2 linked regions of the Diceros bicornis minor genome follow. The protein of the gene in region 2 interacts with the protein of the main gene of each other region in a pairwise test. Links are inferred from orthologs where the notes say so. Each region holds a gene or a part of one and is shown on either strand. Other genes may lie near its edges. The genes, in order: SS18L1 and MAPK1IP1L.

Region 1 (16,699 bases), on a different chromosome or scaffold from region 2:
GAAGACACCAAAGCCCTCTCTCCCTCTCTACCAGGTAAGGCCACAGCGAGAAGGCAGCCATCTGCAAGCCAGGAAACAGGTGCTCATCAAGAACTGAACCTGTCAGTACCTTGATCTTGGACTTCCAGTTTCCAGAACTGTGAGAAATAAACGTACGTTGTTTAAGCCCCCCAGTCTATGGTATTTTGTTATAGCAGCTGGAGCTGATTAAGAAAACAGACAACACCTAAAACTAAACATGTTTGAGAAGTAGCCACTTTGTTTAGCAAGTGGTTTCGCCATTTTTGCTGGAAGTACGCAACAGAGTGTGGGGTGGAAGAATCACTCCTAGTTTTTAACACAAGCCCCACAGCACTACTTGACTCTTCGTGGACAGCACGGTTTTGATGCGTATAACATCTAACCTAAAAACAAGAAAACAAGTGACAGGAGGGAAACCCTGGCTCTCCCTGGGTCAGAGAGTATGGATATAGTTTTTATTTCCTTTATGCATTTGCGTTTATGATAATTCCTAAGACAGGCATGTCATTGTTTAAAAAGTGATCTTAAAGAAACCTAAAATGAGTATGGGACACCTGAGCTAGGCAGATCCAGGCCTCATCTGGCTCCTCTCTACCTAGAGTGTGGCTAAAAATGTGCCCCTAATACAAAGTTGAAAAATAAAGAAACCACGTACGCTGACTGGAGGATCAATGTACTTGGTGTCCTTATTGCTGTCTTCTGTCGACACCAGGTTTCTAAGCTTTCTCACGTGCAGTTTCGCCTTTTCCTGCATCAGGAGGCACGCCCCTCGCACTTTGCTCTCTTGGGAAGGCTGATTTTCTACAGGTTCAGAAGTGAGCTGTGCAGGCAATGCCACGGAAAAAGGAGTTTGAGACTGATGCAGCGTGCGGGTTGAAACCCACGTGTCAGGTGTGGCCCATGGCCACATGGGGAGGGCATTGTGGGCAGAGAAGTGCGAAGTTGGCAACACCACCTGGGGGAGCCAGAGGCCAGCACTGAGGGCCGCCCTGGCGAGCGGTGGTGAGATCCCCACTCTGAAGGCCCGTCCGAGGCCTTGGTGAGCATGACAGGGAGGAGGTGAGACCGCGCTCTTGCTCATAGTGGAGTGGCGGCAGCTGGCCAGATTTGGGCGGAGACTGACATGGGCACACATCTGCTTGGTGCCACATGGCAGCAGCGTGTGATCTTGGCAGCGGGGGCCCTGGGAGGCACCTGGAGATGACATCTGAGCCAGAGCTGTAAAGGTGACCAGGGGCACACAGGTGAAGACGGGAGAAAGGACAGCCCAGTTGGGGGGCACGGTGTGTGCAAAGGTGTGGCGGAGCAGGGCACGTCCAGGAGTGGAGACAAATTCCACGAGCTGGAGATGAGGTTGTGGAGTGTCAGAGCAGGGGACAGTGGGGTGGCTGGGGATGGGAATCCTGTGCCCAGCGGAGTGAGGGTGACTTTCTCAATCGCAGCTTGGGCTGAGTGCAGAGGCTGATGGGACCAAGGTCACCACACACATGGGCACACCTACTACCCACTGCTGCAAAACGAAACCCGCGCACTGTTGTTAAAACAACCATTTCTTAGTTCTCATGACCCCAGGCTGTCTGTGCAGGTCTGCGGCTGGTCTCACATGGGATCATCACAGGGTCACCTGGTGGCTGGCCTCATGGGACAGCTGGGATGCGTGTGCCTCCTTCTCCATGTGGTCATCCTGGTGCTCTCAGGGCTCTGAGAGGGCAGCCCCAGAGCACAAGTGCTTATCAAGCCTCTGCTGTCACGCTGGCTGATGTCCCGGGGGTCAGAGGTTCATGGGGCCAAGGCCAGCGTCCACATGGGAGCAGGCTCAAGGGGTGCAGAAGCGAGAGATGTCACTCCATGGTCTCTGTCTCTGTAACAAGCCACCACGCAGGCTTTACAAAGACTTGGGCTTGGCGGTAAGGGAACTGAAGGGCAACAGGCTGGGAGGGCCAGGGCACTGCTTCCCACGGACATGGCCAGCAGAGAGAACACACGAGCCAGGAGGCAGGGCTGGCACGGGACAGGCCTGGAACTGCTGAGGCCACATGGGCAGTCCTGACTGGGTGGGTAAGGATGACAGAGACCGGGAAAGGGAAGGGGCTGGGGGTCCCAGAGCCCACAAAGAGAGTGGGGGACAGGGGCTGGCGCCAGCAGGGAAAGCTGGTTGAGGATCTTTACGGAGGGAGCAGCCCCCCACGACAACCTGTGTGCGGCCCTGGAAGGAGGGGCACAGAGAGGCCTGGGAGCTCCGAGGCTCACTACTGGGGAGGGCTCAGGTCACCCCACAATGGGCAGAAAAATCCCTCACAATGTCCCTGTGGCTGTTCTTTTAATCAACAAAGATTTGCTGCTTTCTGGTTAAATGGGAAGAGGTTCACGGGCATGCCGAAGTTCAGGCAGCCCCAAGTGAAAGGTGGGCCACGTGCGCCCACCCAAGGCCACCAGGGCTAACCAACCCCCGCTCCTTCTGGACGTGTGCCCCCTCACTGTGTGAACACATGGAAACAATCCCTTCCCGCTGGTCTACATCGCGCCCTTTCCTCTCTGGTGTCTTGGAGACTGTCCTGTCTCAGTGCGTGAAGATCCCACCCCGTTGTTTCCTAAGCTCCAGGGCATTCCACATGGTATTCAGTTGGTCTCCCATCTTCCACCGCTACAAAGAGTGCCGCGATGCACGCCCCCACACACGGGGTGGATGGACATGTGAGGTATATTCCTAGGAGCCGCCTGAGGTGTGAGAGGGACGAGCTCTGGCTAACTGGACAGCTAGTTAAGCATCACCAGGTGGCTGAGCCACCCTGGCACTTGTGCCCCCTCTTCCCACTGCCGACCTCAGGGCAGACGTTGCTAATGATCAGGGCTCTATCCCCCAGCACATGGCAGCTGCCACCACTGGGCAACATCAGAGCTCGGCAAGCGGCGCTACAAACTCTGCTGATGGAAGCCAACGGGACCCCCTGAACATTTACCCAACTGCAGAGTATGTGAATTAGGTGAGTTTCAAAAAAACCCAAACCTTACACACATGCAGTGTCCTTGGGAAGAGCTGGCTCTGCTCCTGGTCCTACCTCTGTGTGTGATACACACGTCCAATTTCCAGACTCTCAGGACCCTGGAAAACATCTTAACGTCACTGCAACAGCGAACATACTTTCATCTTCCTTAGGCCGCGCGGGAGTCACTTCCTGTCTTCAGTGTTGGGGATGCTCATAAACGTGTGAACACAGCACAGCAAAACCACTCTGCTTCTGCGAGAGCCCCCATGCTGAAGGGGGAGGGGCGCGATGCATGGAACGCGGCACATCCAGACACGTCTCACCCCGCAGGTCCCTTTTCTGGACTTGGCGATAGTTTCCTGCCATCTGGATGGAACCCTCGCCTCCCTTTCGGAAGGCCGCTGATAAATGCTGGTTAAACGTCTGACCCAAAGGCTGAAGACGATCGGTCACCAGGCCGAGCACGCTCCTGAGCCAGGTGATGTCTCTAACTAGAGGCACGGCCTGTGAGGGGCTCACACAGCATCCTCGTTTAAAACAAGGAAGCTGAGGTGCAGAAGGCTGAGCCTGGCTTTCCACCAGAATAAGAATATGAGCCCAGGAAACCCCCCTAGCTCCACGGAGTCCATCCCCATCCTTGCCCCCAGGCCACTCCCCCACAGCGGTCTCCAACTGAAGAGAAACATAAGGAGCCCATGGCGACGGGCATTCTGCACAGGAATCACGTGCTGGCCAAGCGGAATGAGGCCTCGTCACAGGAGCCCCCTCTGCACAGACATCTAGCACCTTCTTCCTCTCGACTCCTGTCCCGTTCACACGGCAGGGTAAGCAGTTGAGGTGCACGCTGTGGATCAGACAGTCAAGACTGACCCAACCTCTTCCCAGGTCCTGCAGGACTTGGCGACATCACCACCAGGCCCCCCTCACTCCTGCCTCTGTGGGGCTGGGCATGATAGTTCTTCACGCGCAGCCAGGGGATCCCAGGGAAGCGGCCTTCTGACCACAAGCACACAGGAGCAGGTGCCCAGGCCCCAAACCACTGGCCCAGGGAACAAGCTGGGGGCAGAGGGCTGGAGCCACAATGAGAGAGCTAACAGGGACACGTGTGAGTGTCACACGGCAAGACCCAGCTGCTGTCCCTCTCCCTCTGCCTCCACACTGTGCACACAGCTACCACATAGAAGACAGGCGCAGCCTGTGGATGAGGCAGCCACTGGACAAGGCAGGTGACTGCTTTAGGAGGGAAAGGAGTGAGAGGGAGGTGGGGTGGGCACTGCACTTTATCCAGACGCTCCCTGGTCCTCCAGGCCTGAGGGGCTCCCAAAGGGCTCCTGAGGGCCTGAGCAACAGGCAGGGAGCACACCTTCTTTGTAGGAGCACCCAGCAGGAGAGCCTTTGCCAGGTTTTCCTCGGCAGAGGGGACAGAGGCTTGGGCATGGCTAGACGCCATGCCTCCCCACCCGAGGGGGCTGGAGTCAGAGCCTCTGCAGTGCTCAGGTCCAAGCGTGCTCAAGTGCCTTGCAGAGCAGCACCCTCAGCAGGCAGCACGTTAAGACACAGAAGTTGACAAAGAAGCCAACTAAGAGCTGGCCAGCATGCAGCAGCCCCGGTCCCAGCTTCTCCTGCGCCTCCACGGCGCCCTGCCCTCACCCCTCCCCAGGGCTGGCCCCAAGAACCTGAGCGAGGGGACACTGCCCCTCCCATCCGAGGATCGTTCCCGGGGGCCTCTGCTCACTGGGCAGAAAGCGCGTTCAGTAACAACTGCCTAAAAGGATCAATCAGCCAAGTTAATGGGAGGCTAGGAGTGCCCAAGCCATCTGTAGTCACGGGGACAGCTTTAACTTTAAAAATGGCCAATTTACTTTCCTTATCAAATTAGCCCATGTTCTTTAAGACAAGGAGTTCCAGGTGTGAGAGAGCACAGGGCACCTACCCCCGACCCAGATGGCCAGCCCTTACCCGTGCCCCTGCCCCCCAGCCCCTGGGCATGGAGGACACTGGGGCAGGGCTGGTCCCCCTTTGGTCCCTGGCTCTCAGACCCCCGCACAGCACCCGCCCTCTCTGGTCTCACTTTCCTAAACTAGACCCAGATGTCCCCTTGCCTATCAGCTCTGTCCTGTCCCCACCGACCTTGTCTCTGCTGCACAAGGTACAGAAGGAATAGATGCCATTCCCACCCTCCAGCCAAGGAAACAAACTAAGAACACCAACACAAACAGTAACAATAGTACTTACATTTATTAAGCAACTACTGTGTGCCAAGCAGCAAGGCCGATGCTCAGGGGCCCCTCTAACGTGCCCAAGCGCAGCCTCGCGGTCCATGGAGATGGCTGCAACCCCACCCCACCAGAGCTGGACAGTGGGGATTCGCTGGTCCCAAACCAGGGGACGGCAGCACAGGGCAGGTCCCAGCCTGCGGGCCAGCTAGCCAGGCACGAGGGCCACTGAAGTTTGCTGGGACACTGCCCCTCTCCACCTGAGAGGAGAGTCCTCGGCAAAGTCGTGTCCCCTGTGGTTCTCACCAAAGTGCAGTTCTGCAAGCGTCTCACCCCACACTAAAACTGTGCTCAGCCACCCCAGGGTCAACCACCCCGGCACATAGCCCAGGCTTCCAGCGCAGGCCGGCTCTCCCTGTCCTCCCAGGTTTGGCCCCCTTCCTGCTCCACGCAGACCACGGGCCGGACCACCTGGACCCCCTCAATCTTCCAGACCCTTCTATGCAGGCCATGCATGGGACCACCTGCGACTCCCTCGATCTTCCAGACCCTTCCTAGCTCTGTTCCTTGGTTCTCCTTGTCTGGAGTACCACTCCCCCACACATCCTCTGTTACAGGTTGAGTTGTGTCCCTCAAAATGATATGCTCAAGTCCTAACTCCCAACACCTGTAGACGTCACCGCACTTGGAAATAGGGTCTCTGCAAACGTGATCAAGTCAAGATGCAGTCACACAGGGTCAGGGTGGGCCCTGCACCCTACGACTGGCGTCCTTACGGCGAGAGGGGAACTGCACACAGAGACATACACAGAGGGGAAGCCAGGTGAAGACAGAGGCAGGGATTGGGGTGATACGTGTAAAAGCCAAGGACACCAAAGATGGCCAGCAACCACCAGAAGCTCAGAGAAAAGCATGGAACCACCCTCCCTCAGAGACCCAGAAAGCATCCAATCCTGGTGACACCTTGATTTTGGACTTCTGGGCTCCAGAACTCTTAGAAAATAAATTTCTGCTGTTTTAAACCACGCAGTTTGTGGTAGTCTGTTATGACAGCCCCAGGAAATGAATACATCTGCCTATCCCAAGCACTGCCACTCACAGACCCGGCGTCCCAGATGCCCCAGTGTGTACTGGGCACTAACTGTGCCAGGCTGGGGACACAACAAAGAATAAATCGGTGACCCGCAAACTTGGGAGCCCAAGCTGTGTGCCAAGGTGCTACACTCACCACATGACCACCGAGGGAGCATGAAGGAGGGCACATCTGAGCGGAGCCTTGAAGGCTGAGTAGGAGTTTGCCTGACAAATTCCTACCCAGATATACTCTAAGGACAAGGAGTATACTTACTGCTCTTGCACTACCAAGCAGGCTTCTGAGAAACCCTTCGCTTTTCTCAATGCTCTGAGCACGAGCACACGCTGTGGACACAGCCCACGCGCTGCTCACGCCCTTCTCAGACTGCCAGTAAAAGAGCCCTGGGTACATATATTCAGCATGAGAACACTAAGGCAAGTCCACAGATTGCTGGCCCCACCAGGTCAAACCAGGTGATAGCCTAATTGAAGACCGGCCTGTGTCGATGGCCAGCAGGCCGACTTTCTGCCTGGAATGCCATCCACAGGTTTCCCTCTTTCTGATCGGATGTTTGGGGGCAATGCTCTAAGACACACGTTTGCCTGGAGAATTTGGGGAGCTTTAGCAGGGGGCGGATGCACAGTGCAAATAACTGGATAAATGCTGAAGCCAAAGGTGGTTTCAGGAACGGTAATGTGCTTATCACACTAAGGCTCCAAAGAGCCAGGGTGCTGAGAGACTCCTGGACGGCCAACACGTGCCTCTGAGCCAAGCACCTGACCCTCGGCCAGCCCAGTGTCTCCATATCCAGCGTCATAGTTACAGCAGACCCCCGGAGCCAACGTTCAGGTTCAACTCCCGGCTCCACCACTTACCAGCAAGGCACTCAGCCTCCCTGTGCTGCAGTTTCTTTATCTACACAATGGAGATGATAGTAACTACCACGAGGAATTAAGTGAGTTAACATCTGCAAAGCTCTCAGTGCAGGGCCTGATATGCAGTAAGCACCACATAAGTGTTTACTACACAACAAAAAAAAACCCCCACTTTTAAGTCTATATTTCTGCTGCTTCTCAAATCGCCTCTCTCCTGTTTAGAGTTTCCTGAGGCACCTCATGTGTCAAAACCAGCCACAGCAAAGGTGGTCTCGAAACAGACGAGAGGCTGAGGACAACGCGTGTCATGAAGAGGCCGCAATCCTCAAGGTGAATGCCCTTGGGGAAATAAGAGGCTCAGGGGAACAGGACACACTGCTGTTGACCTCAGAAATCCAGAGATTAGAAAAGAAATCAATGCAGCTATCAAGCACGCTGAGAAAACTGAAACGGGAATGGCTAACACGGATCTTCTTCTGAACTTGTCTTCTAAAAAGAAACAGCAGAAAATTTAAAATCTCAATTTCAAAACTTAAGGCTTTTGTTAAAGGTGTCCCCAAACCCATATAAAAGTTATCTCTAAAAAACCCCAAGACCAAACTTACAAAACTCGGGGAAAAGCTGTAAAGAGAATCTGCACACTTGGTTAGGTGAGGAGGTGTCCGGCCCAGTGTCACGCTGAAAAACAATTTCACACGCGAATAAGGGCCTGGAAGATTGGCCAGCAGGTCAACCCCGAGGTGTTGCGCGCTCCTTAAAGGGCTGCAGGGCTGAGAAAACGGCGTCCCACACTCGGGACGCCCCCCTTGGTGCCTTGGAGTGCCAGCATCTTAGTAAGGCGAAGGGCGTAGCCGGCTGCTGAGCCAGGTCCCCGTCGCCCCGCGCCCCCTTCACTTGCCAAGCTGCACGCAGGGGCCAGGGGCCGCCCGCCGGGCTGCGCCACAGCCTTCGCCAGCCAGGCGGGTCTCCGCGGACGTCACCCCGCGGGCACCCAATCCCGCCGCCCTGCGCCCTGGCCTGGAAGGCGGCGGGTCCCCACTGCGCCGGGCGCGGCCCGGGATTATTCTCCACTTGGCCCCTCGGATACCATTCCGAGGACACCACCTGGGGGGGCACCACCCGGCGGACACCACCGCTCGGACATCACCCCGCGGGCGACTGGCCCCGCCGCCCTGCGCCCCTGCCCGTGGCCCCGCGCGCCCCCGACCAAGTTGGCGCAGGCCGGCCGCGGAGCGCGCGCGGGGCCTCGTCGGGGTCGCGGTCGTCGGCTGCGCCCCGGCTTTGTTCGCGCTCCGCGCCCGCCGGCTGCCTGTGCCCCGGCCCCGCGCGCCCGCCCGCACTCCGCGTGCCCCCGGCCCGCGGCCCCCGGCCCCCAGCCCACCTTCTGGATGGTTTGCTGTGTGACCTCCCCTTTGCCTCTCGGCCGAGCAGACGCAAACGCCACCGACATCGTCGCGGACACAGGCTCAGCCCGAGATCATCAGGGTTTCTTCTCCGGCTGCGCTCGGCGGCCCGAGGTGCTCATTCTCCGCAGTCGCTGGGGGGCGGGGGGGGGGGCGCGGGGGGCGCCGCGCCGTGGGCTCGTCCGCCCCGCCGCCGCCGCGCCGCCCCCGGGCCCGCAGCTCCGCAGCCCCGGGCGACCCCCGCCCCCAAGCCCCAGCCCCGCGCGGCGCCCCTGAGCCGCCGCCCCGCGCTGCGTGTCCGGCCCGCCGCCGCCGCACCTTCCCCCCGCGCCCGGCCGCCGGTGGTTCGGCCCGGCCCCGCCCCGGCGCGCGCACGTCCGCCCGACGCCGCCTGACGCGCGGGTCACCGCCTTACGCCAGCGGCGCAGTTGGCGGCGCCGGGGGCGGGCGGGCGCGCGCGGCGCGGGCGCAGCGGCGTCGTGAATCGCGGGCCGCGCCGGCCGTGAGTGTGCGCTTTTCCCGGGCCGACTGCCCCGCGCCGCTCCGCTCCGCCGGCATGAGCTACGACCGCGCCATCACCGTCTTCTCGCCCGACGGCCACCTCTTCCAAGTGGAGTACGCGCAGGAGGCCGTGAAGAAGGGCTCGACCGCGGTGAGCGGCCGGCCGCCGGGCCTGCGCGCCCGGGCGGGGGCGGCGGAAGCGCGCCGGGCCGAGGGACGCGGGGCGGGCGGGGGCTCAGCTCGCGGGGAGGCCGCGGCACGCGGGGGGACGCCGGAGCGGGCCGGGGGGAGCGGGGGAGGCCCCGGCGTGTTGGGGGCGCGGGCCGGGAGGTCGGCCGCGGTGAGGGGGAGGAGGCGGGGAGACGGCCAGAGCGCTCGTGGACAGAGTAGGGTGTTGGGGGGCTTCGCGCGCCGCCTCGGTCCCGGCGGGCGGCGGCGGCGGCGGCGTCTCCGGACCGAGGACCCACGTTACCGGCCGGGCGGGGCCCGGGTGCGTCTTTCGAAGAGCTTCCCCCGAGTGGCCGCGCAGAGGGCCTTCTCGGGGTCGCAGGGAGGCTTCGCTTGGATTGGCCTTTCGGAATTACCACAGGGGCGTTAGTTGAACACAGGGAAGTCGTAACGTTGGTGTTACTAAAGGAAGCAGAAAAGGGGCACGTTTGGGAACCGTGATGTCGCACCACATTGCTCTCATCACGCTGATTTTCACGTAGGGGCCAGTGTGGTCCATGTTTGCCGGTCACTTTAGACGGGTGCCTTGGAGACCAGCGAGTTCAGTGTCCGCAGTACATTTCAAAGAGCCAGTTTCCTTTCTCTCTGGTGTCTCCAGAGCATGTGAGCGCCTGGGGTGACGGCCATCTTGGCGGGGTACCTTTGCACCGGCCCTCGGGGAGCTCGGTGTGGCTGCGCTGATGCACCTCAGGCGAGCAGAGGTGCAGGGGCCGCACCGGGCAGCAGGACTGGCTGTTACTGGCTCTGTGGATGTTCTTTAAGGAAGCACGTGACTTCGGTGAACTGCATCCAGACAGCTCCCCGCCAGGGGACTTCCCCCACTAGGGAGAGCAGGTGTCGGGAGGTCCAGGTGGGCTTCTGGAACAAAGGGTGGCAGATTCTCAGAGTCCGCCCGCAGTTCCCGGGGCGGCTCCCGGCTGCTAGCAGGCTCTCACTGCTCTGATCCCTCCTCCGTTGGGCAGTGTGCTGTCCCATCATCCCCTTCACCTGAGCTTGTACCTCTCATGTTGACCACTGTTTGAAATTTAAATTCGTGGTGCCTTTGAGACACTTGTCAGTTTGCTTATTGGTCAAACTGTAGGATAGTTTTAATTTTTATCGTCTGGTATTTCAGAGATGTGAGCAGGCAGAGAGAAAGACATGGGGTTCTGTGAATTTCGAAGTGTTTCTCATTTCCCAAATCTCTTTTGAAATTAAGGCCCAAAATCCATCTTGTGACCTAACTCAGCTAAAAGAGCACTGGAAGAGTTGACAGCTCACCCCCGCATTCCCATCCCCAGTACTACCTTGGGCCAGCCCAGGTGGCTAGCTTTGCTTAACCCACCTAGCATCTCTGGGCCTGGCCTTCTTTTCGGCCCCGGGGGAATTTTGAAGATACACGAGAAAGCTCCTTGAAATCTGAAACACTGCAGACCAGCGCTTTCCAACCACGGGTGATTCTGCATTTGGCAACGTGTGGAGACATTTTTCCTTGTCCAAGATGGTGGAGAGGTACTACTGGCACCTAGGGATAGAGGCCAGGGATGATGGTAAACATCCTGCAGTGCTTGGACAGTCCTTTGATTCTAATCAAAGAATTCACCGGCCCAAATGGCCACAGTGCTGAGGCGGAGAAACCCTGCTCTAAACAAAGAGGGGATGTTGCTTTTCCAAGTGATTGTCCCATTTGTGTCTGCTCCTGCCTTCACTGGCTGGTTTACTGGCTGCCAGTGCTTTTTCCCTGTTTTGAATACATCCTTCTCCCCTTTACAGTATCTGCCATAAACAGAGAGCAGTTGACACCTGTAATGCTTGATACAGTTGTCCACCTGACAGCAAATCAGGCCTTCTCCACAGCTGTGCACACTGGTGTGCAATAGTGCAGGAGAGGGTGGGGCAGCTTTTAGTGTAATTTCACAACTGCAGAAACACTGCTTTCAAAACACCTGACTTGAATGTTAGGATCTCAGGCTTAAAGGCACCTTTTGTTGGAGTCTTTCATTTACTGGGTTGAATTGATACATGTGCTTATACACACTTATTATTACAGTACTTATTAGTTGTATTGTAACTGAAACTACATAACAGTATTTTAAGCCACAGGACTAGGCATGTAGGTCATGATACCTGGGCTAGCTCTGCCAGAAGCAGATCAATACCCATGGTCTGCAGGGTGTGGTGCCCAAAGCAGTGGTCCAGGGAGTGGGGGAGGGGTGTGCGTGGGCTGCTACCCCTGGGATATTCACATCTGCTCTTAATGCTCTGTGTGGAGTGGCAGAATCTCATGTCACTTTGTTAAGTGCTGTGTTGATTTTTATTGAAGGTTGGCGTTCGAGGAAAAGACATTGTTGTTCTTGGCGTGGAGAAGAAGTCAGTGGCCAAACTGCAGGATGAAAGAACCGTGCGGAAGATCTGCGCTCTGGACGACAACGTCTGCATGGCATTCGCGGGTGAGTCGGGGGCTGGTGCTCTGTTCCTCGGAGGCTCAGCGAAGACCTGCGCTTTGGAGGTTAGCCTGAAGGGTGGGCTATTGGGAGACATGTAAACTGGCTAAACTAAAATCATTTAAAAGCATCGATTTGGGCCTTTAAGAAAACGTTTGGCCATGGTGGGGGGCAGGGAGCTTTCCTTCTCAGGTGGCTGAAGCACAGGGGCTAAATGAATAAACACCCCCAGGACGAGGGGGCTGTGCTGTTGCCTCCACTGCTGCTATCAGCCCGATGCTGGATCGGAGTTACAGTCTAGAGAAAGGTCAGGCTCTCCACAGCTAACCGCACCTGTGAAGTGGAGAGAGCCGGACAGTGCCCTGTTGTCAGGGCCTGCAGTGTGTTCTTGGCACTTGGGTCATTTCACTCATTGCCTCCCTCAAGCAGGTCCAGTTCAGGAAGATCCGCGTTCACCTAAACTAGAGGTTGACTTGCCTTGTCAAAGGATTAGTGTGTTTAAATATGCTCTGACAGGCACAATTCTTTGTACACCCAACTTTCTCAGAGAAGCTCACAGAGGCCAATCATTCCACTGTCATCACTCAGAATGACCTCAGTGTTGGTTTCACAGAACTGGTTTTGGAATCTTTGCCAAAGGTTAGCGCTGTCCACTCTTGTGATCTGTGCTGTCCTTGCTTGGAGTAGACGAGGTGTGGCTCAGGTGGGATCCTCTCTGCCATCGTTGCAGGCCTCACCGCTGATGCACGGATAGTCATCAACAGGGCCCGGGTGGAGTGCCAGAGCCATCGGCTGACCGTGGAGGACCCGGTCACTGTGGAGTACATCACTCGCTACATCGCCAGTCTGAAGCAGGTGGGTGCCCACTTGCCCATGACCAGTTCTGGCTAGGAGCAGTTGCTGCTTTGTCATGGAAGGTGTCCTCCCTTGGTGTTGCACATGGATGGTTGCATGTGTCACTTTAGGGGAATCAGAAAACTGCACTTGTTCCACGCGCAGTTGTATCTGTCCTTGTACAGGTGTAATTTACTAAAGCTTGTCCATTTCAGCGGCATGGTTCTGTTCTCATTTAGGTGCAGTCCAAATTCCTATTGCTGGAGGGCAACGATAGTTTTTATCTTGCCGTTCTGAATGACGGGTCACCAAGCAGCTGGGAGGGGGCTGAAAAACACTCCCCCTCTGGTGAAATGCTAGTCGTCCTTAAACCTAACTGTGTAGCCACAATGCGTGTCTGTCATCAAAATAATTCCAGAGTCTCAGTTGTGCTCCATGATGTGATTCTGGTCATAGGAGTGTCTTTTTCTAAGAGTGAAAATGCGGAAAAGAAAGGGGGAATGCTGAAAACTATTGGCTGATTTCATTTATCATTTGAATTGCAAATAATCTGGAAGTGTACTTAGTAGTTTCTTTTCATCTCTCCACTCAAAGCAGAGCTCGGAATGTCACACGTTACTTAGGGTGGGTTCTGTGGGGCCTTTCGTGCTATGAAGACGGTGTTAACGTGTTCCTTTTCCCGCCAGCGCTACACGCAGAGCAATGGGCGCAGGCCGTTTGGCATCTCTGCCCTCATTGTGGGTTTTGACTTTGATGGCACCCCCAGACTCTATCAGACTGATCCCTCAGGCACATACCATGCCTGGAAGGTGAGTCTCTGACAAAACAGGGGCTTCAGGGTTTGGAGGCCATTGGGAGGAACTGGGCCTAGTCCTTCAAATGTGTGTGCACGCACACACCACCTGTTTGTTCCACGACAACCCCTGCTGGTGTGGGAGCAAAGAAGTCATTAAATGTTGCCGTTCCGGAGAAAGTCAAAGCACAGTGGGGTGTAAGGATACGTGGCCTAAAGGAAAACTGCCTGTGTGCCTTTCAGTAACGAAACAGAAGTAGATCCCATCCCTGGTAAGAACCAGCACCAACTCCCAATAGCCCTTTGTGAAAGGAAGCCATAGGGCAGGGCCTGGGGCCCAGACCCAGCTCCCTCCAGACTGCCTCTCACCACAGCACATGGGAGAGCAGGCAGGGCAGTGGCCGGCTGGCCCACAGGGGTGGCCCTGTTTTGGGGCTGGCTCTGGATTGTCATGCCCTGCATCATGTAATACACCTTTCTGTTTCAGGCCAATGCCATAGGGCGGGGTGCCAAGTCAGTGCGTGAATTTCTAGAGAAGAATTATACTGACGAAGCCATCGAAACAGACGATCTGACCATTAAGCTGGTTATCAAGGCCCTCCTGGAAGTAAGTTTGCATTTGATCTCTGGGCAAGATGGTGAAGACACCCACACCGGGTGGTGGTTCTTGGGCTGGGCAGAATGGGCAACTGACGAGAGGGCAACAAGGAGGTGGCGAGGGTGCCAACGGTAATGCCAGATATCTGAGGGCTTGCTCAGATATCTGAGCAGTGCTGGGCACTGTTCGGCACTTTATTAGCTCCTTTATAGGCTGGGGCAGTTGAGGCAGCAAGAGGCTAAGTGGTTGGCCAGGAGCGCACAGGTCACAGCCATCACTCAGCCTTGTTGCAGCTCGAGCTGCTGCTGCAGTCAGGGGATTGGAAAGGAAACTGGGAGTAATGGTTGGGAGTCATGAGGACTTGGGTTTTGTCAAGACGGTGGAGGTGCTGGCAGGTGAAGCCACAGAGGCCAGGGCGGGGTAGTTGGAGGACCAGGCTGGGGTCCAGGGTTCAGAGCTCAGATGTGGGAAAGGCTGCATGTAGAGGGGCGAGTTGTGAACAGAGCTACTGTGCAAGAAGGACCAGTGACCCAGCCCAAGTCCGACTGCCAGCAGATGGACGGGCGCAGGTGTTGCTGACCCTTTGCACGTGACGTGCTGGTAGAACAAAAGCTTTGGGTGCTGGGACTTCAGTGTGTCCTGCCCTCTTCCCTCATGTGGCAGTGCTGGGTTCAGGTGCACACACTATCATTGGAGGTGCTTGCCAGAGCTGTTTGGTCTGGAGGTGGGCGAGGTGTCTGATGTTCTTCTCTCCTCTCCAAGGTGGTTCAGTCAGGCGGCAAAAACATTGAACTTGCTGTCATGAGGCGAGATCAGCCCCTCAAGGTAATTACCAAGTTTGTTTGCTGTCTTTACTTATGGAGAGTTCCCCGTGATCAGGGCAGGGGCAGTACAAGTTCAAGACCCTTCTGCTGTGGCTTCAGCACTGGGAAAGAGGTTCTTTCCAAGGCTCTCCACAGTGAGTCAAAAAGAAAGCATTCCAGTGTTGGTCTCCACGGTGTTGAAGATAGTACTCACGCGTGCTCTTGGCATGCTGAAAAGCTCTCAACAACTGTGGATTTGCTTCTGCTTTTTAATAATCACCTAAAAAAATGATGATTTGATAATCTGCTTTTTAATAGGCTCTGACTGTTGTTGGCTGGATCAGGCACACAGGGCCTTGTTTTCCTGTAGTGGCAGCTGTGAGGTGTAGTTTGGCCAGAGTCCAAGGGGGCACTGGTGCTCTGGGGCACCTTGTGTGGCTTGGGGGCTAACCATAAATTCTTTTTCTTTGGTAGATTTTAAATCCTGAAGAAATTGAGAAATACGTTGCTGAAATTGAAAAAGAAAAAGAAGAAAACGAAAAAAAGAAACAAAAGAAAGCATCATGATGAATGAAATCTTATACTGGTTTTTAATTCAAATCATGGATGATTTTCAGAATGACATGTAGGCATTTCCATTCCATTTATCCATACTGTCCAAGTGTCCTACAGTAAACTTCCATATTTTTTAACCTTTTTTTAGAGTGTGTGTGTCTTTTGGGTGTAATTATGATAGCTCTTTAGAAAACTTCCCTAACTTCTGGTTTCTGAGCACTCTCGAGTGTGAGCTTTCCGTTCCGTTCCTTGGTGCCAGGCTCTAAGTGAGTGGGTCCTCCCTTGGGGTTTGTGGGAGGGCTTTCAGGAGTCCAAGCAGCATGCAAAGTGCAACAGGTGCTGTGCACGGCTGCAGACAGGCACTGCAGATGGGTGCATCAACTCAGTGTCTCTCCTTGAAGGGTTCTAAACAGATGGACTGACTTTCGGTTTCTTCACAGACCTCCACTCAAATCCTCGAATGTCAAGGACACAAGCACAAACAGCACTCAGTTTAAGTCTTGAACTCAGAACTCTACAGAACAGCAGCTGTGTTCAAATTATATTGTATTCCTGGATTTAGATCAACACTTAGCATGTTACATATTTTCTATCTTAAGACTTATGGCACTGGCTACTCCCCACCCTCTTGCATTTTAGCCGGAAAGACTGCTCTTTTAGCTTCCAGGCCAGCAGAAGTTTAAGTCATGGTCCTAAGGTTTGTCTTTACAGAAAAATCCTCACCACCTCCTTCACCTGCACAGCTTTGCAGCCTCCCATGAGGCCCTGGTACCAGTCCTTGTGATGGAATTGCCTTTTGGCTCCCTGCACCCCAAGAATACCAGGGTTTTTGGGTCCTCAGGCTGGCCGCCCCTGCCAACTGCTGTTAGGACTCTGGGGCTCTGCTTTCGACCTCAATCCACAGCTTCTCTTGCTTGGGGTTCTCATCTAATGGCACATAGACATTTTTCCTCTAAAAAGGAGTAAAGAGGCCCAGATACGTTAAGCTCAGCATAAAATGCATAATTGTCAAAATGGTTGTCAGTGTTAAGAGCAAGGTTAGTCACAGGTGGTAGACTATGACCTGACTAGATTCTCTAGCCAAGAAATACCTGTTTGCTGAGCCACCTAACTAGTTTAGAATTAGTGCCCTGGCTACCTGCATCTAGTATGTACACTATGGAAGACTTGTATTTTTTATTGGTCAAGGACGTTGGTTGCCAAAAAATGAAAGGTTGCCAGGAATTTGTTCAGGTTCTGAAACTGACGGCTGGGCTCAGCAATACAGGCCGACTGCCTGCTGCCCAGTCATGCTCTGGGCCTGACTAATCAGGCAGGTACTGAAGGGAGAGGGACACAGCTGACTGGAGGGACCTTATCCTCTGAGATTGCTTTTAAAAAGTCACCA
Region 2 (16,189 bases):
GAGCCATAAGCACTTTACAAACAGAAATCAGTAAACTATGCAAGAGACAATGACAGTCTAACCAGACTCTGAAAGACAAATACATATTCTGATCGCACTTGTACAAAGAGAAGTCATGTCTGTGTGACTAAGGTTCTCTAAACACAACTGCTGTATGTGTTTACAACAGACCCCAAGAGTGTATCAGTCTTCCATATCGGGCAGGAATTAAGGGATGTGCTCCTTTGAAAGAACTAAGGGAGGGGGGGCTACAGGGAGGAAGAGTGTTTCGTGTGAATGCAAATTACTTGTCACTATGAAGCAATTCCCAGGGTTTCCTCTAGTTTGAGGTTCAAGACTAAGGAGAGAATTATTTCCTTCCTTGAGCTCTTCCCAAAGCACTATGGACATCTCATAACCTATTCTAAAGCAATACCAAGAGATCACCAATTCTCTAAGAACATAATTTACATACATGTTGGCCTGCATTAAAAAGAAAAAAGTTTCCACAAAAGGCAGATTTTAGAGTTGTATGACCCATCTGGCTAAAAATAAATCAGGTGGAACTCAAAATGAAGGAAAAGTCTTTACTAAAAGCTTGAGGATAAAAATGAACACCGCCTAACTAACTCAACAATAATTACTGGCAGTTTTAAAACGTATACCCAAAAAATAACCTCAAAAGGACCAGGTTTATTTATCCTAAAGGTTAGCTCAAGATATTGAGAAGCTATCATTTTAGCTCAAGATATTGAGAAGCTATCATTTGTTTAAATTATGACAATGTGATTGTTTTCAAAGTGTTTATTCAGGGGAAAAAGTGATTATAGAAAAATACTTGAAATAATGTGCCAATGAGATTGCAGATTCTAACAATAATCCACAGCATCTTAGTTTTTAAGTGTGTAGTTTCATAATTTAAACAAATTCTATCAAAGAGCTATTCAACATAATCACTTCAACTCTCCATAAAAACTGAATAAAAATCACATTTGAATGATTTACATTTTTGATTGTATCCATCTGATACATCCAAGTACAAGAGGCAGATATCTTCTCTGAGAGGTGCAAGAGTTGTTCATTCATGAATGCCCTCTAAGAATAGTGAAACAGCAATTTTTATATATGCATGCATGTGCATATATATGTACTTCAAAAAGCAAAGCGTCATCTCTTCATCCATTGTTAACCTTAATGGTAAGACTGCAATAGAAAAAAGAAAAAGTAAACTTCTAGGTTTTGTAAATGGAGTTTATTAACTCCTTTCTGTGGCTTAAAATAAACTTATTGCATCATAAATCCAAACAGCAAGTCATCTCACTCATTTTGGCATACAATTTAAAAAAATAAATTTTTAAGAGAATATATATAGCAAGAAGTTACACTAATGAAAGGAAGCTTTGGGGGCACTTTATTAAGATTTTCTTCCTTTACAGTTGGGGTGGATGTTTGATTAACCTAGTTGGAGAGCTGATTAGTTATTTTGTTAAGAGTAAACAGATTGTTCCCCCTTCAAGGAGAATCTTGACTCTGCATTTGGACACTCACTTGGCTTACTTCATGGGGGAAGCAGAGTGCTTTTCAATTTGGTCATATGTCCAAGAAGGCCTTAACTAAGACGTCAGCTCTACTCCAGCTTGGCGGACAGCAAAGTATAAAGCATTACACAATGCATAACAGTGGTAGAACCTTGAGCTCAATGCTGCTAAGGATCTAAAAAACTTCGGCTGAGAAACACTCAGTTTTGCATGCAAGATGGGCAATGTTACATATTCACTGCTCTGGATTCTCTCAAAGTCTACCTCAATATCCAGCCAGACAGGCAGGGATTGCTCTTATTGAACTGTGCTTTCGTGTGATGCTAAAAAACATTACTGAGAAATGTTAAAAAAAAGTTAAGTCCAATTAAATGTTATCTCTGAGTTTACCTCAAGGATGCTGTTGAGGACACTGCTACATTACAAGGTCTTTGGGGATTTGGGGGAAATTTTTCTTTCCATTTTTAGTACTGGGAATACTTGTGTTTTCATCCTTTTAAATGTTTTACCTGAAGTGTGAAATTTACTCTTGATATACACACACACCTTCTCTTAAAGTTTTAAAAGCTTTCCAATCTTCCATCCAAGACTGGAGACAAATAATCTTTCAGGTGTGCTTATGTGATTATTAGTGCATGTTAAATAACAAATTAAACACTCACCTGGGGGCCACCAGGCATTGGTGGAGCACCAGAAGGTCCTGAAGGCACTTGAAAAGGATTATTGGGAGTGGGATAGAGTCCTGGTGTGGGATATGATCCTGCAGGGGCAGGATATGGTGCTGGTGGTCCCCAGGCTCCCGGTGGAACAGTGCCCCATGGAACAGGTGGTGCTGCCCCTGGTGCCTGGGGAAGAGGAGGAGTGGGATATGGCCCTGGAGATGGATATGGCATATTAGGGGTAGGATACTGCCCTCCCATTCCTGGTGCCCAAGGTCCAGAAGACATGGATCCCCATGGACCTAAATGACCAGTGGCAGCTGGATCTGTGGGTGCACCATATGGTCTTGGAAGCTCTGGAAAGGGGATATTTGGTGTAGGATATGGCCCTGTGGGGCCTGGGCCTGGTACAGTTGGGGCTGGATAAGGACCACCAGGTGGGGGGCATGACGGTCCAGATGGAGGAAATGGTGCTGGGGGTCCTGGAGGTGGTCCAGTGGGAGGCACAGAGGGATACATTCCTGTTGGTGCTGGTCCAAAAGGCACAGTGGAGGGTGTCGCACTTGATGGGAGTCCAGATGGCACAGAAGGTGGAGCACTTGGGTTACTCCAAGGGTTGGAACCTGGCCAGCTTTGAGGAGGTTGGCCAGGTTTTGTATTGCTCACAGCAGAGTTTTTGGCAGGGGAGTGTTCAGGTAGTGCATCTGCCAACTGGAATACAAAACAAGCATGTCTTTACCAATCTTATTCAGGGACAAGTCATGCCAAACGTGATTATAAACTCATAAAAGATAGTAAGCTACTGGGTCAAGGATTACAAACCTCTGTAACATCTTCAAAAGCCGAGCTCTTCAGTTTAAAAACAATTCATTTAATACAAAACTTCAGGGGTTACTTCGAATTATCAACTTTACAATGCACATTCCTCAGAGAAGTTCATGTTTTCTCAATACAACTAATCAACATATTGTGGATCTGAATACTTGGCTTTACCTCAAACAAGTTACATACCCTCTCCAAGCTTTAGCTTTCTCATTTTCAAAAAACAGTTTAGGGTTAACTTGAGGCTTAAATGAGATAATTCACTTGATACACTTAACACAGTGCCTGGTATATAATTTTCAATAAACGGTGGCTATTATTAATATCAGGTTAAAAGAGAACAACAGAAGAAATACTTTTTAAATTTTTTACTTACGGATTCATAAGAAATAAATACTAAAGAAGTGTTTTCAAACATGTTTTATCTAAGTAAATTAAGGCAAATCACCTATCACAATCACATCCCCCTCCCTCCTCAATCCAAGAATCACAAGCAGCACCTCTTTTAAATTAAAAGACTTATGGTCCACAGTTAGGACTATATTCTCCTAAGAGCCAAAAAACTTACAAAGGATAAATGCATCAACTTACCGAAAATTCATCAGACATTTTCCTAAAAAGAAAGAAGGAATATTTCAAAACCATTGTTTACCATTTCTTATATATTCTTTTTTTGAGGAAGACTGGTCCCCAAAGCCACAGCAGATAGCTGTATGTCATAGTTGTACATCCTTCTAGTTGCTCTAGGTGGGACACGGCCTCAGCATGGCTTGATGAGCGTTGCTGCGTAGGTCCGGGCCCAGGATCCAAACCGGCAAACACTGGGCCACCAAAGCGGGGCATGCAAACCTAACCACTGCGCAACGGGGCTGGCCCCTCTTATATATTCTTTTAGGAACTTTCTATGCATACATTACTTTTACTTAAATGGAATCTTAATCATTCATACAGAGTGTTTTTCTTTATATAGAAAAAATTTCCATAATAGTTCATACAGCTCTATTAACTTCATCCCTTTTTACATACAAAAGTGATCCATAATTTAGCTTACACTCTCATTTTGGTGGCAGGTTAGGTTTGTTTGCATTTTGGGTTGTTTGAAACAATGATACAGTAAACATGTCTGAACACATATCTTTGCTCACTTGTGAATCCATCACCAGGAAAATACTAGAAACAAAATTTACAGTGAACAGGGAAGGTTATCTAAAATCCATCTCAAAAGTCCATGCCAATTTTAAAGTCCCTTGCCTATTTACACTGTCTGCTTTTCCTTCTAGTTCCTCTTCTATCACTTGCTATTATGAATTTATAAATCATTTTCAATTATGATAGATTAAAAACTAGCATCTTGTTTTAACTTCTTTACTTGTTTCAACTTTTGACTTTAAGGAGAAAGTAGACCATCTTTTTAATTTAATATCCCATTGGTACTTCTTTTTCTGTGAATTTGCTCATGTCCCTGGACCACTTTTACCAATTTTTTAAACTGAAGTATAATTAACACTCAATAAAATGCATGGACCTTGAAGTATTCAGGTCAACAAGCTCTAACTGTCTAAGCCTCTCTTAACTACCCAAGATATAGAACATTAACCTCACTCCAGAAGGTTTATTCATGCTCCTTTTTAATCAACCTCCCCCAACAATCACTTTCTAGTTTTTGCTTATTCTTTGACTTCATACAACTAGAAGAAGACAGTATGTAACTTTTTGTCATTGATCATTGTACTACTTAGTAGTACTTTTTTTAATGCTTTGTAAGACAGTACGCAAATTAGCTCTGTTCTGTCTGTTACATATGAGACAAAAAATTTTATCCCAAGTTCCTTTTATTTTTAAATCTTTTAAATGGTATTTTTTGGCACTACAAAAGTTTTTAATTTCGTGTAGTCAAATTTATCAATCTTTCTGAACCACATATGGCTTGTTTTACAAAGGCCTTGTCTAATCCAAGGTTAAAAAAAAAACTCACCTACGCTTTCTTATAGTATTTTCACGGTTTAACTTGCTATTACCACCCTCCATTTACAGCTGGAGAAAAGGAAGCTTAGCAAGTTAACTTGTTTAAGGTTACAGACCTAGTGACAAATAGAAAAGGGGTTCAAACCCAGGCACAGTCTGAGCCCAGAGCTGAGGCTCTTAATTAGAGCCAGGCTATAGAACCTCCATCATTTCCCACAGGTATTGTGGACTCTATTCTTTTCTACTTATCTGTGCCATAAAATTCCATTTTAATTATGGTGGTTTTATATTTTTAATATTTTAACATCAGTTGCCCTACTACTACTTTTCTTTTTTCAGATTTTCCCAAACACTCTCACATACACCTTTTCCAGATGATTTTGTAAAAAAATTAAAAAAAAAATCTGTTGGTGTTCTGGTTGGAATTGTATTAAATTTACAGATAAATTTAGGGGCCATCTGATAGATTTAAAATGTTAAATCTTCTCATTCAAGAACAAGGTATGTCTTCCTAGTGCCGTCATTCAGTATCACTCAGAAGTTTTGAAAAATCAGGTCTCCTACACATTTCTTGTGAGATAGATTTCTAACTAATAAACTTTTTCTTGTGGTTGTAAACTGGCTCTTTCCTTTCATTGTATTACTTTTGTAAGCAGCAACATTACTGAATTATTTTATTCCTAAAAGCTTATCAGTTGATTCTTTGGGATTTCCAGGTATTTTTTGGTATTTGCAAAAAATAATAATACCTTCTCTTCCCAGTATTTACATCTCTTTTCTCTTTTGCATCAACTAGGACTTAACAATGAAATGTTAAATAGTGATAGTGAGCACAGCAGTCTTGTTCCCAAGTCTCCCGGGAATGCATCTAATGTTTAAGTACGATTCTCTCTCGTGTGTGTGTGTGTGTGTGTGTGTGTGTGTGTGTGTGTGTGTGTGTATGAGTGTATGTGTGAGGAAGCTTGGCCATGAGCTAACATCCATTGCCAACCTTCCTCTTTTCGCTGAGGAAGATCAGCCCTGAGCTAACATCTGTGCCCATCTTCCTCCATTTCGTATACAGGATGCCGCCACAGCATGGCTTGACGAGTGGTGCGTAGGTCCATGCCCGGGATCCGAACCTGCAAACCCTGGGCCACCAAAGCGGACTGTGTGAACTTAACCACTATGCCACTGGGCTGGCCCTACAATTCTCATTTTTAATTTGAGATTTTAAAAAATTACATTAAGGAAGTTTCTATTCATGTCTATGTTGCTAGATTTATTTGTTCTTATTTTGCTAGTTAAAAAAAAAAGTCAGGGCCAGCCCCGTGGCTTAGCAGTTAAGTGCGCACACTCCGCTGCTGGCGGCCCGGGTTCGGATCCCGGGCACACACCGACGCACCGCTTCTCTGGCCATGCTGAGGCCGCGTCCCACATATAGCAACTAGAAGAATGTGCAGCTATGACATACAACTATCTACTGGGGCTTTGGTGGAAAAAAAAAAAAATAAATAAAATTATTAAAAAAAAAGAGAAGACAATGAATTTCCTCAGATGATCTTTGGCATCTAATGAGATGATCTTAGTTTTTCTCCCTTATGCATTCACACAGTTAATTAAATGAATAGATTGCTTAACATTGAGCCATCCTTGCATTCCTGGAGTTTTATTTTTAAGTATGATTTGGTTATCACGAGGAAGGATGGAGAAAAAGAACATGAAGACCACTAAGTCACAACTGCTATATCCTTGTTTTTCATTCAGAATATCAAAAAACATTTAAATATACAGCAAATACAATTACCCATTCATTCCCATGTTAAGGTTTGTTTTATATTAAAACATCACATCACAAAACAGTCAATTCTTAGGACTAACACCTGAAGAAACCTTATCAGTGCACAAGTTTAAAGTCTACATAAGACATGCTTTTCAAAGAGGGTGAGCCTTTCTGAAACAGAAAATGGTTCTGTATCAAAGTTCACATTAATTATGGAGCAGAGAACCTAACAAATCAACCCATTCAATTTCATATGGTCTTGCTGTTCAGGTTTTCAGAATTATTCTTTTCTTAGTTTTTGAAAAACATATATACATAATATACAGTTAACTAGTCATAGAACAACATTAAAATATAAATTATTCCACAAGTTAATAATATTAAACCGATTTACAACTCTGGCTTTCCAAATCAATTCTGGCAAACAGAGGAATTACTAGAATATTATGATTATAAAGATTTTTAAAGATTTTATTTATTTATTTTCCCCTCAAAGCCCCAATAGATAATTGTTATGTCATAGCTGCACATCCTTCTAGTTGCTGTATGTGGGACGAGGCCTCAGCATGGCAAGAGAAGCGGTGTGTCGGTGCACATCAGGGATCCGAACCCAGGCCGCCAGCAGCGGAGCGCGAGCACTTAACCGCTACGCCACGGGGCCGGCCCGAGAATATTATGATTAAAATAATGAAGCCCTGACCAAAGGGATTAGAAATAGTCACTCCCTGTTCTCCAGCACTGCGTAGCAAAGTGACCTAATCCTCATGCCTAGAATAAACAGTGTTCATGTTCACTGAAAACATTCCAATTTACTTTAGGGGGATACTTTCATCATAAAAAGGTAAAAAATAGATTTTGACATTAGTGTTTCAATATGATAAAAACTACAGAATATAAAAATATCTAGATTTTCTAAAAGGCTATTCCAAAACATCTGAAGTATGCTAGTTATTAAGATGAGCTCAGTGTAATCCGAAATTAGCCACAAACACACACAAAAAGGTTTATAATCAAGAAAGGTTTTTGTTTTTTCTTTTTGGAATAATCTAAAGATATTACTTCTAAAACTTTCCAGTATCACTTTATGGCAGGATCTACACATCATCTGAAAAATAATCATTGTATTTTCTGAGCAGTAAGAATAGTAATTTTAAAACAGAGCACAAAATTTCTTTTGACATACACTAGAAAAGTAAAACAACATTTTGATAATGCCTATGGCCTTTGGAATAAAAATGATAATTCAATCACAGGGAGGTTTAAGAAAGATGAACTTCATAAATTACTAGTGACTACTGCACAAGGAATATTTCAAAGGGCCAGCAAATTCTGATGGCACACTATGGGACTACATGGTTATGAAACCCAGACATCAATCCTTTTGACTGAGTCTTTTGACAATGGCAAGTTTCTTAACCAGAGACCATTTTTTCATCTGCAAAACGATTATAAAATAAAAATTCCTGACTACTTCACAGATAATTAAAAGCAACGTATTTAATAATCTATAGAGTGCTATAGACACGTAAGATGTTTATTAAGAGAAACTAGGGGAAATCAGTTTTGCACTGATCTGTTTAGTAGGGAGGGAGGATGATAATATATTGTACTGAAGATATAAATTTTGAACTAGAATATATGATAGTTTTTAGTATTGGCTCTTTTAGCAGATACCTTCTATCTGGGCAACTCAAGAAATTGCAGATTTGAAACCTTCTGAACATTTAAAATTTTTAAAAACAATTAAAAGAACACATTTTTTCAACAACCTCATGTCAGCCATATTTCCCACACTTATTCAGATACTTATTGGAACATATGTGCTAGGCACTGTGCTGGGTTTTGGGGTAATGAATAGTATTGCATGGAATAAATGCTTAAGGACTTTACAGTCTGGTAGAGAACTACCATTTAAAAACAGTAACTACATTACCTGGGGTAAGCACAGGGCACTAAGGCAGTTCCTCAAAGGCTCCTAAAGGAATCAAGGCAGGGAGTATCAGGGGAAGAATCCGGAGCAGTGGTTAGCAGTCTGGGAGAACAATGGGGTAAGAGCTGGGAACAGGGGATGGTTGGGAGGGTCCTAGAAAAGGAGAGCAGTTTGTGCAAAAGCAAAATCTGCAGGAAGTTAAGCAGTTCAGATTAGCTGGAATATAGAAAGGAGAGGGATACGCAAGTCTTAGCAGAGAGCCTTTAGACTAAGGTTTAAACGTCTCTATCAGTCAGTTCACCTCAATGAACCTCCGTTTCTTCAACTATAAAGAACAAGCCAGTGATATGACAGACTAAATGGGACTCGTAAATCAAGTGCCTATAATAGCAGTGCTTAGAAAATAATGGGTGGGCAACATAGATATTCTCTTGTCTTCGTTTTTATGTGGGCATATTGCAGATGGTTAAGAGTGAACGCTGTAAACTGCAGCTCTTCACCGGCTGGCTCTGGGTAAGATGAACTCTCCAAACCTCAGAGATGTAAGTGGACAGGAATAGAATCCACCTCACAGATACGCTGAGACTTACATAATAAACAAATCTCTTGGTCACTGTCTGACACAGCAAAACTCAACAAATGTTAGCTCTTACAATCGCTGTTATAGGTCCACAAACCTTTATCGGCAGTTGTCAATTCAGAAACCTGAAAACGAAAGAAACGTTCCCAAGTTTGGTATAAAACTTACTTGGTGGCAAAACCTGACCTGAAGCGCTTTATAGTTTTCATTAATTCACACCTATGGCTGCACAAACGTTAATACTGGATTAGGGGCCTGACTCTGCTGGGGGTGTCACCTCTCATCTATGCACCTTATTGCCTTTCTACAATTGAAAGATAAAATCCAAAGATTTCCGAATTCCAAAACACACAGGCCTCAAGAATTTCGGTTAAGGGATAGGTCTCCGCTCCTCCTGGAGAGAGGAAAAGAACACTCCAATATACGCAACTTAGGTTTCCGAGACAAACTAGTTTTGAATAGGCGATGCAGAGACGCCAGTAGCAAGAAAACTTCTCTTCTTCCTGCCCAAGGAACACCACCGAACAAAGACTTCTGAAAGAGTTCGGAAGGCCACCTCCGCCCGAAGCGAGACTTCGTTTTCAAAACCGGCCTTTACAACCACCAGCTGTACGAGTGTGTATTTCTTTAGCAGCAGTGCTAAACAAGACGTTTTTCTACGGCCAGCTGAGTATGCTTCAACATCAGAATCTTCATCCATTAAAGGCACTACTCTGGGTTTTCAAAGAGGAAAACGGTTCAGCTATTTATAAGCTACCATGCATGATACGCGCTCCTAAACCCGACAACAGAGAATATTACAGAACTCCGCACTCGCCCAGGCTCCGTCACGGGTATTCATCGAATGTATCTGCTAGTAACTTGAGCAAGGACGCAAACGTTGTCACATGGCGGATGATGTTAAACAAGGGTCGAAGATTCCCCCAAGAATCTGTTCAGGCCTCTCCCTCCCTTCCCATTAGACATTGATAAACAGGGAAAGGGCCGGGGCCAAGGCCCGCGAGGCCCTCAGCCCTTTGGGGCCAGCGCAACAAAGGGAGACCGGGCTCAGCCGGAGCGAACCGGCCTCCAAGCGGGTCGCCCCGCCAGGCGGGTGGGGGAGGGGCCGTGTCCGCTCCCCGCCCCGCCCCCAGCCAGGCCTGACGTCAGGCGCCGAGAGACCCGCCCGGCGCGACGTCGCCGCCTCCGACGCCTTCTCCCTGGGGGACCGTCGGGGGGCCGCCCACGGCCCGGGAGAAGACACCGGGGAGAAGCGCTTGGCCCCGCGCCGCAGAGGCGGCTCAAGGACCTCGGTTACCACGCCCGCCTCCCGCTCGGGCACGCTCCCTCACCCCCTCCACGACCCCCGCCAGCGCCGAGGCAGCCTCACCCGGCAAGATCCGAGCCCGCAGCAGGTCTCGAGGCGGCGAAGAGGCCGAAGTACCGGGCGCGGAAGAACGGGGCGCAGCCTGACTGACGGCAGCGGCACCAGCAGCGCGCGCCTCCTCCTGGCGCCGGAACAGGAAACGGCGGGCGTGCCGCCCCCGCCCGTTCCCCGCGCCCCGCCCCCCGGGGCCGGGCCGCGCGCGCCCCCCGCAGGCCCCTGGCGGCGCTGCGGCTGCTGCGCGCGCTCGGCCCGGGGGAATGTTTCCTCACGGTGGGCGAGGGAAAGCTCCCCAGTCCTCCGGAGTTCTGAGGCGGTGGCGCTCTAGGCAGCCTGGGGGAAGTTGCTAACTTGTTTCCTGGAGTGGCTCAGGGGCAGGTTCTGGATTCCCTAAGCTCAGCGGTTTTCACAGGCAGGCCTCGAAGCTGGCTGGGTGTGGATGTGGGCCAACTGGGGAACGCGGTCCCTTGGGCCAAAATTGGGGAGAGCTAAACAATACGGGAAAGGAAAGACGTTTGTAAATGGCTTGACATATTGATATTAACTAAAGGAACAGCTGTCTTTGCAGACTTGTCCTGATCAGTGCCTCTTCTCCCCACATTTCGTTTTTGAATAGACCTTTAAGCACCTACTTTGCTAGGTCTGAAAGATGATTGTCACAGGGCCCAGCCGTCAAGGAACCTGCTAGCCAGTAATGAAGATGTCATAATTACGTGTATGGTGTGAAAAATATATACATATAATAGTACATATATTTTATATGTAAAAATATATTAAAGGTATGCAATATTCTTATAACATTTTGCTTCTGTGTGCAAGCCGTTAGTGGATCAGTGGGTGGACATTTTACTATAAACTTAAATGAAGAGTAATCTCTGGGCATGCTCCACAGCACACATAATTCTCATGCCGAAAAATGAGCAATAGAGGAACTTCAAATACCTAAGCCTGGGGAAGACATATTTTTGGATAGGGGCGATGGTCTATGGAAAATGATGCCACCAGTGTGAACGACCTACCCTGCGCTCATAAGAGGCATTGAATCAGCGGTGCCTTGTGGAGCTACAGGAAGCCTGTGGCAACAGGAAAGGTCAGTACAACAGTGCTAACTTTATTTAAAATTTGGTATTTTGCTCAGTAGAGTTTTTTTTGCATTCTGATTTTTAAATGTTGCACCAAAATATTACTTTTCGTTACTGAGCTTTTCAGTCAAAAAAATTTTGTGCCCAAGTTGAGTGCCGCACTCACCTCACCCTAGTCCCAGTCAGGTGTATCAGTGATACAGCCTCCAGCTTTTCCCATGCTCCCAGCCGATAACTGAGCATGGTGGGAGTTCTAGAGCTAGGCCTTTCCTGTCCCAGGTGGGCTCCTACAGGTAACCTTTGCTTGGGAACTAAATCCCCACCTAGCTTTTTCAGAACTGCACTGCAGCCTAAAGCCCACCCTACCCAATCCTTCCATTTCTTTCATAGATGTCAGCCATGCAATGTGGTATGAAGACTTGCCAACTTTCTCCTGCTCCCTTCCCCTTTATCCTTCATAGGTGTCCCCCCTCCCCATAAATCTCTTGCACATTTAATTACATCTTGGCACCTGCCTCTGGAAGAACCAAACGGACACACTAAAACTGAAAGGAGTGTATTATACATTAGAAAATATGTAAAATATAGAGTTTTAAATTTTTCTTTCTCAGATTCTAAATTGAACGTGTGAGGTTAAGGCTATACATTTTTAAAACAAAATACAAAGTCTTTGGATTTTATATATGAAGTTTTAATTATGAAGAAATGAAAATTTATTCAGATCAATTTATTTGAACTCACATCCGAGAAGAAACATTCAACTTCAGGATTAGAAATAAAAATGGAAAAAGTCTACTTTGTGGGTAAGAGGTGGATCATACAAACCTGACTGTTGAGAGCTCTAACAGCTTTGTGATGTCACTGCTTAAACTCTGTATATTCAAGTATGTATCAGATTCATACTTGCTTTATACAGAATTTATCCAATTCTAGCAAAGTCAGCATAATTTAAGTAAACCTCCTTGAGTTTTACACTGTCAAGTCTGAAAGCTTAGATTTGATTATAACCACAGCAAAAGCGATTATCTTTACTTCCTGCAAATGTAATTAACTTTTAAAATAAGTTAGGCAAACATCAATTTTACATAAACCTTATTAAGGGTAGGAGGAAATTGCAACTGTTCATCTAATTGCAGACTCTAAACCATAAATTCAAATTGTACTGTTATCTCTATTGTCAAATCAAGCCAAGAAAGCCTATTACAAACTAAAAGAGTGAATGTGAATCTGCAGGGTCCACTAAGGAGATGCTTTGAAAACCTATCATCACATTAGTACTTAACAGCTGTACAGAAATTATTTTCAAGTATGCTTCAAGGGTCACCTCTTAACTGAAGAATTATCCTTCAGGAAGTTAAGTGACAAGTATTATTACCTACATTTCATATGCTAGGAAATGAAGGCAAAGATTGAGGATTGAGTAATCTATTCAAAATTAAAAAGTAAATCAAAAATAGACCCTGGCTTTATTTGAAATAGGACTCATGTGCCCTAAATCCCTTCCCATTGGGTTATATCCATTAGTTTACATTTCTACTTAGAAGCCAATCAGTTTCAAAGTTACATCCATTTTGTGTCCAATATCTTAATGTATTAGAATAGTACAGACAGACTCTTGTAGTGTTGCTCATTTCTGCTCCTTTCTCGTAGGCCATTAAAAAAGAAAAGAAAAAACTTCTGTGCTTTGTGTTCCTTCTTTAGAAATAAAAATGAATGTAAAACTGATTATGTTAAACCAAAATTGTAAAGATTTTTTTTTCCAAAGTAGGAATAATAATCTGCTTGACTTAAAATATTTTATTCATTTGGACATTAAATTATCTAACACACAGGCTATTTTTACATTTAAACACTGTTTTCCTTGTGTTGTCTCCAGGAATGTCTCATAATTAAGCCTACTCTCCTGTGAGATTTGCTCTACCAAAATCTATATATGACCTATTTGACTGATTGATTATAACTAAAAGTGACAAAAAATTTTTAATGAAAACTGAGTATATTTGTAAGTTAGGTCTCAAGGTTTTTGTTTCACAGGAAGGAAGCTCTCTATTACGTGGATCTATAATATGATCCAAACTTCAGAGAGACAGGAAGCTGATAACTTGATTTATGTTCTTAATGGCTTTGGCACATGAATAAATGATAATGGTTTGTGTTTTTCTTATAAAAAGAAATGGAATTTGTATAATGATATGAGTTCTATTTGCCATATTTGCTCTGCTTTTTAAAGGATTTCTAATTACTAAGAGATTCTTTATATTATTTATAATAAGTCAAAACTTTAACTGAAAGCAATTCTTTGACCACAGTTTGCCATTAGCTGAAATTCAGGAAAAGAACACAGGTCTGAACACCAAATCAATAAATCTAGCCACAGGCTGACTTTTAAAAGCTTCCTTTAATCTTCTTCCTAGTAGGTCTTCCTTTAAATTAAACCATTCCCTCTATGAATTATTTAAGTGAATGGCATGGGTATAGAAAGATCACATATGATTCTTCATATAAAAATGCTCATGGAACCTAAAAAAAATCCATTCAGCATATTTCAGGAATTATAAATCAAGATGCTGTAGCTTAAAAAAAAGGGTGGGAAGGGGTATGGCCTGAAAAGCTTCAGAGAGAAATAGAAAAGTCAAGTTTATTTCCTGATTAGTGCAGGATGATTCCCAAAGCTCAGTTAAGTGTGTAGTCCAGACTAGCTATTAGCGATTAAGTAGTTCTCTTTCACTGTCAAGGCTTTTCCCTGAGGTAATGCCTAAATTCTTAATTTTTAATATTCTATCTTGTTTCTTTTAGCCCCATCATCTCTCACCAGTAAGCTCTACACATTTCCACCATGTTGAATGCTTTCTCAACTCTGGAATTTACACTTTTCAAATGCTCACAGCATCCAACTTAGAGTTACAAAATTTTTATTTAGATATATTTCTATCTTACCACATTGTTCATCTCAAAACTTACTTATTTTACTTACATATTCCAATAACTACATTTTTTAAATGAGTTAGTTTCTAAATGGATGCTCTTACTGAGAAAGGGGTTAGCCTTTCTAAATTCCAATCCCTTAATGCTTTAAAAAATTAATTTATTATTACTCTTTTCTTTTTCCTTCATGGTAAATAATTCTCAAGACTTGATATTTCCACTTTCCAGATTTCTTTTCACTGTAGCAAATACCAAAGGAAAAATACAAACCATTTCAGAGTAAATGAGTCTCTTCCCTGTTCTCATTTATTAGATCATCCACTTCAAGGCTATATATATGGCAGTATTTTGAAAATGTAAATAGCTATTAATACCTTAAAGTTGAAAAAATAAGAAAGCCAGAGAAAATATATCATAAGTGACCAGTTTGAATATATGAAAAGCTACTTAGATCTTGATTTTCATATAAACACTAATTTTTACCATTATAAAAGATAACATAATTATATTTCATTTTTCTTTATAAAATTACCCTTTAACAGAATATTTGTTAGCTAGTCATCCCTTAGGTTTTTCTGTACTGATAAAAAGTTATTTTTAAAAGAAAAATATTTAAAGTAATTGTTTCACAGAAACAGAAAGTCTCATTATCAAATTCTGATAAAAAACTATAATCATGGGTAGAGTCTCACCATACTATTAATTTTCTTTCACCAAAGATGGATATTTAGGAAGTGTTATATTGGTAAATAAGATCAGCTTCTCAGTGATCTACAAAAGCGCCACAATAAAGATGAGGTAGTATGAGACTTTTCTACTTTTGTAAAGGGAAATATCATCTTCAGAAGAGATATTTATCCTGACATTGGTGTTATGATATCCTGAGCCTCATCACTGCTAAGAGAGGTGCCATATTAGTAGCTAACCCTCACTGGAACCAAGACAATGTTGAGATCACTGAGACAAAAAAGGGCATCTTTATGTTAACAGCAGAACTTCAGAAAGGGAAATGTTACTTCAACATAAAAGCAATGACACTTAAGAAACATCTGTTCTAACTTGGAAATTTGAGTCAAATTTCTTTCAATCTGGGTAGAAGCAGCTTCCTACTAGAGCTAAACTATCATCAAGAAATCAATTCCTACGATATTTAAAATGCCAATTTGTACAAAGGGGTAGATAGTTCACCAGAAGAAACGACTGTCTAGGAAATTTATTATTCATCGATTCTTTAAAAAAGAGCAGTAGCATAGGCTATCACTCCATGTATCTTTATTATATTGGGATATTGATGTTTCTAAAAACATTTCCCTGCTCTTGGGATAGTAAATTTAAAATATTACACCTGGTGCCCAGTACTCTTCAGTATGGCATAAGCCATGTAGCTCCCAATATGTTTTCCTTTTTTTGAAGCCACAATAAAGACATGTTAATTCTGAAGACAGGGATAATTATTTGAAACCTGAAGATCAAAAACAGTATTAAGCTTCCTGAATACTGAGCTCCATATTTACTTCTTGAATCTTTATTCAAGCTTAATTTAAAATAATGAAAAACTACTTAGGTACTCTTTAGTTACCAATG

Evidence for each region.
Region 1: the proteins of MAPK1IP1L (region 2) and SS18L1 interact in binary tests that used the Homo sapiens proteins (3 or more experiments, as listed by UniProt). The two-hybrid records come from large-scale screens. The link is inferred for Diceros bicornis minor from reciprocal best matches to the Homo sapiens genes MAPK1IP1L and SS18L1.

Annotation. Positions count from the first base shown.
Region 1 is NC_080758.1:1,937,257-1,953,955, forward strand, and holds the start of SS18L1 (calcium-responsive transactivator), read right to left. Parts: upstream 8,726-16,699; 5' UTR 8,625-8,725; coding exon 8,556-8,624; intron 1-8,555. Other genes in the region: PSMA7 (proteasome subunit alpha type-7), read left to right, coding at 9,134-9,229, 11,609-11,735, 12,460-12,584, 13,250-13,372, 13,844-13,963, 14,717-14,779, 15,232-15,324. UniProt on the Homo sapiens protein: Transcriptional activator which is required for calcium-dependent dendritic growth and branching in cortical neurons. Recruits CREB-binding protein (CREBBP) to nuclear bodies.
Region 2 is NC_080763.1:5,145,884-5,162,072, reverse strand, and holds MAPK1IP1L (MAPK-interacting and spindle-stabilizing protein-like), read right to left. Parts: upstream 10,720-16,189; 5' UTR 10,605-10,719; intron 9,361-10,604; 5' UTR 9,333-9,360; intron 8,701-9,332; exon of another isoform or gene 8,659-8,700; intron 3,612-8,658; 5' UTR 3,608-3,611; coding exon 3,590-3,607; intron 2,888-3,589; coding exon 2,180-2,887; intron 1,183-2,179; coding exon 1,171-1,182; 3' UTR 769-1,170; downstream 1-768.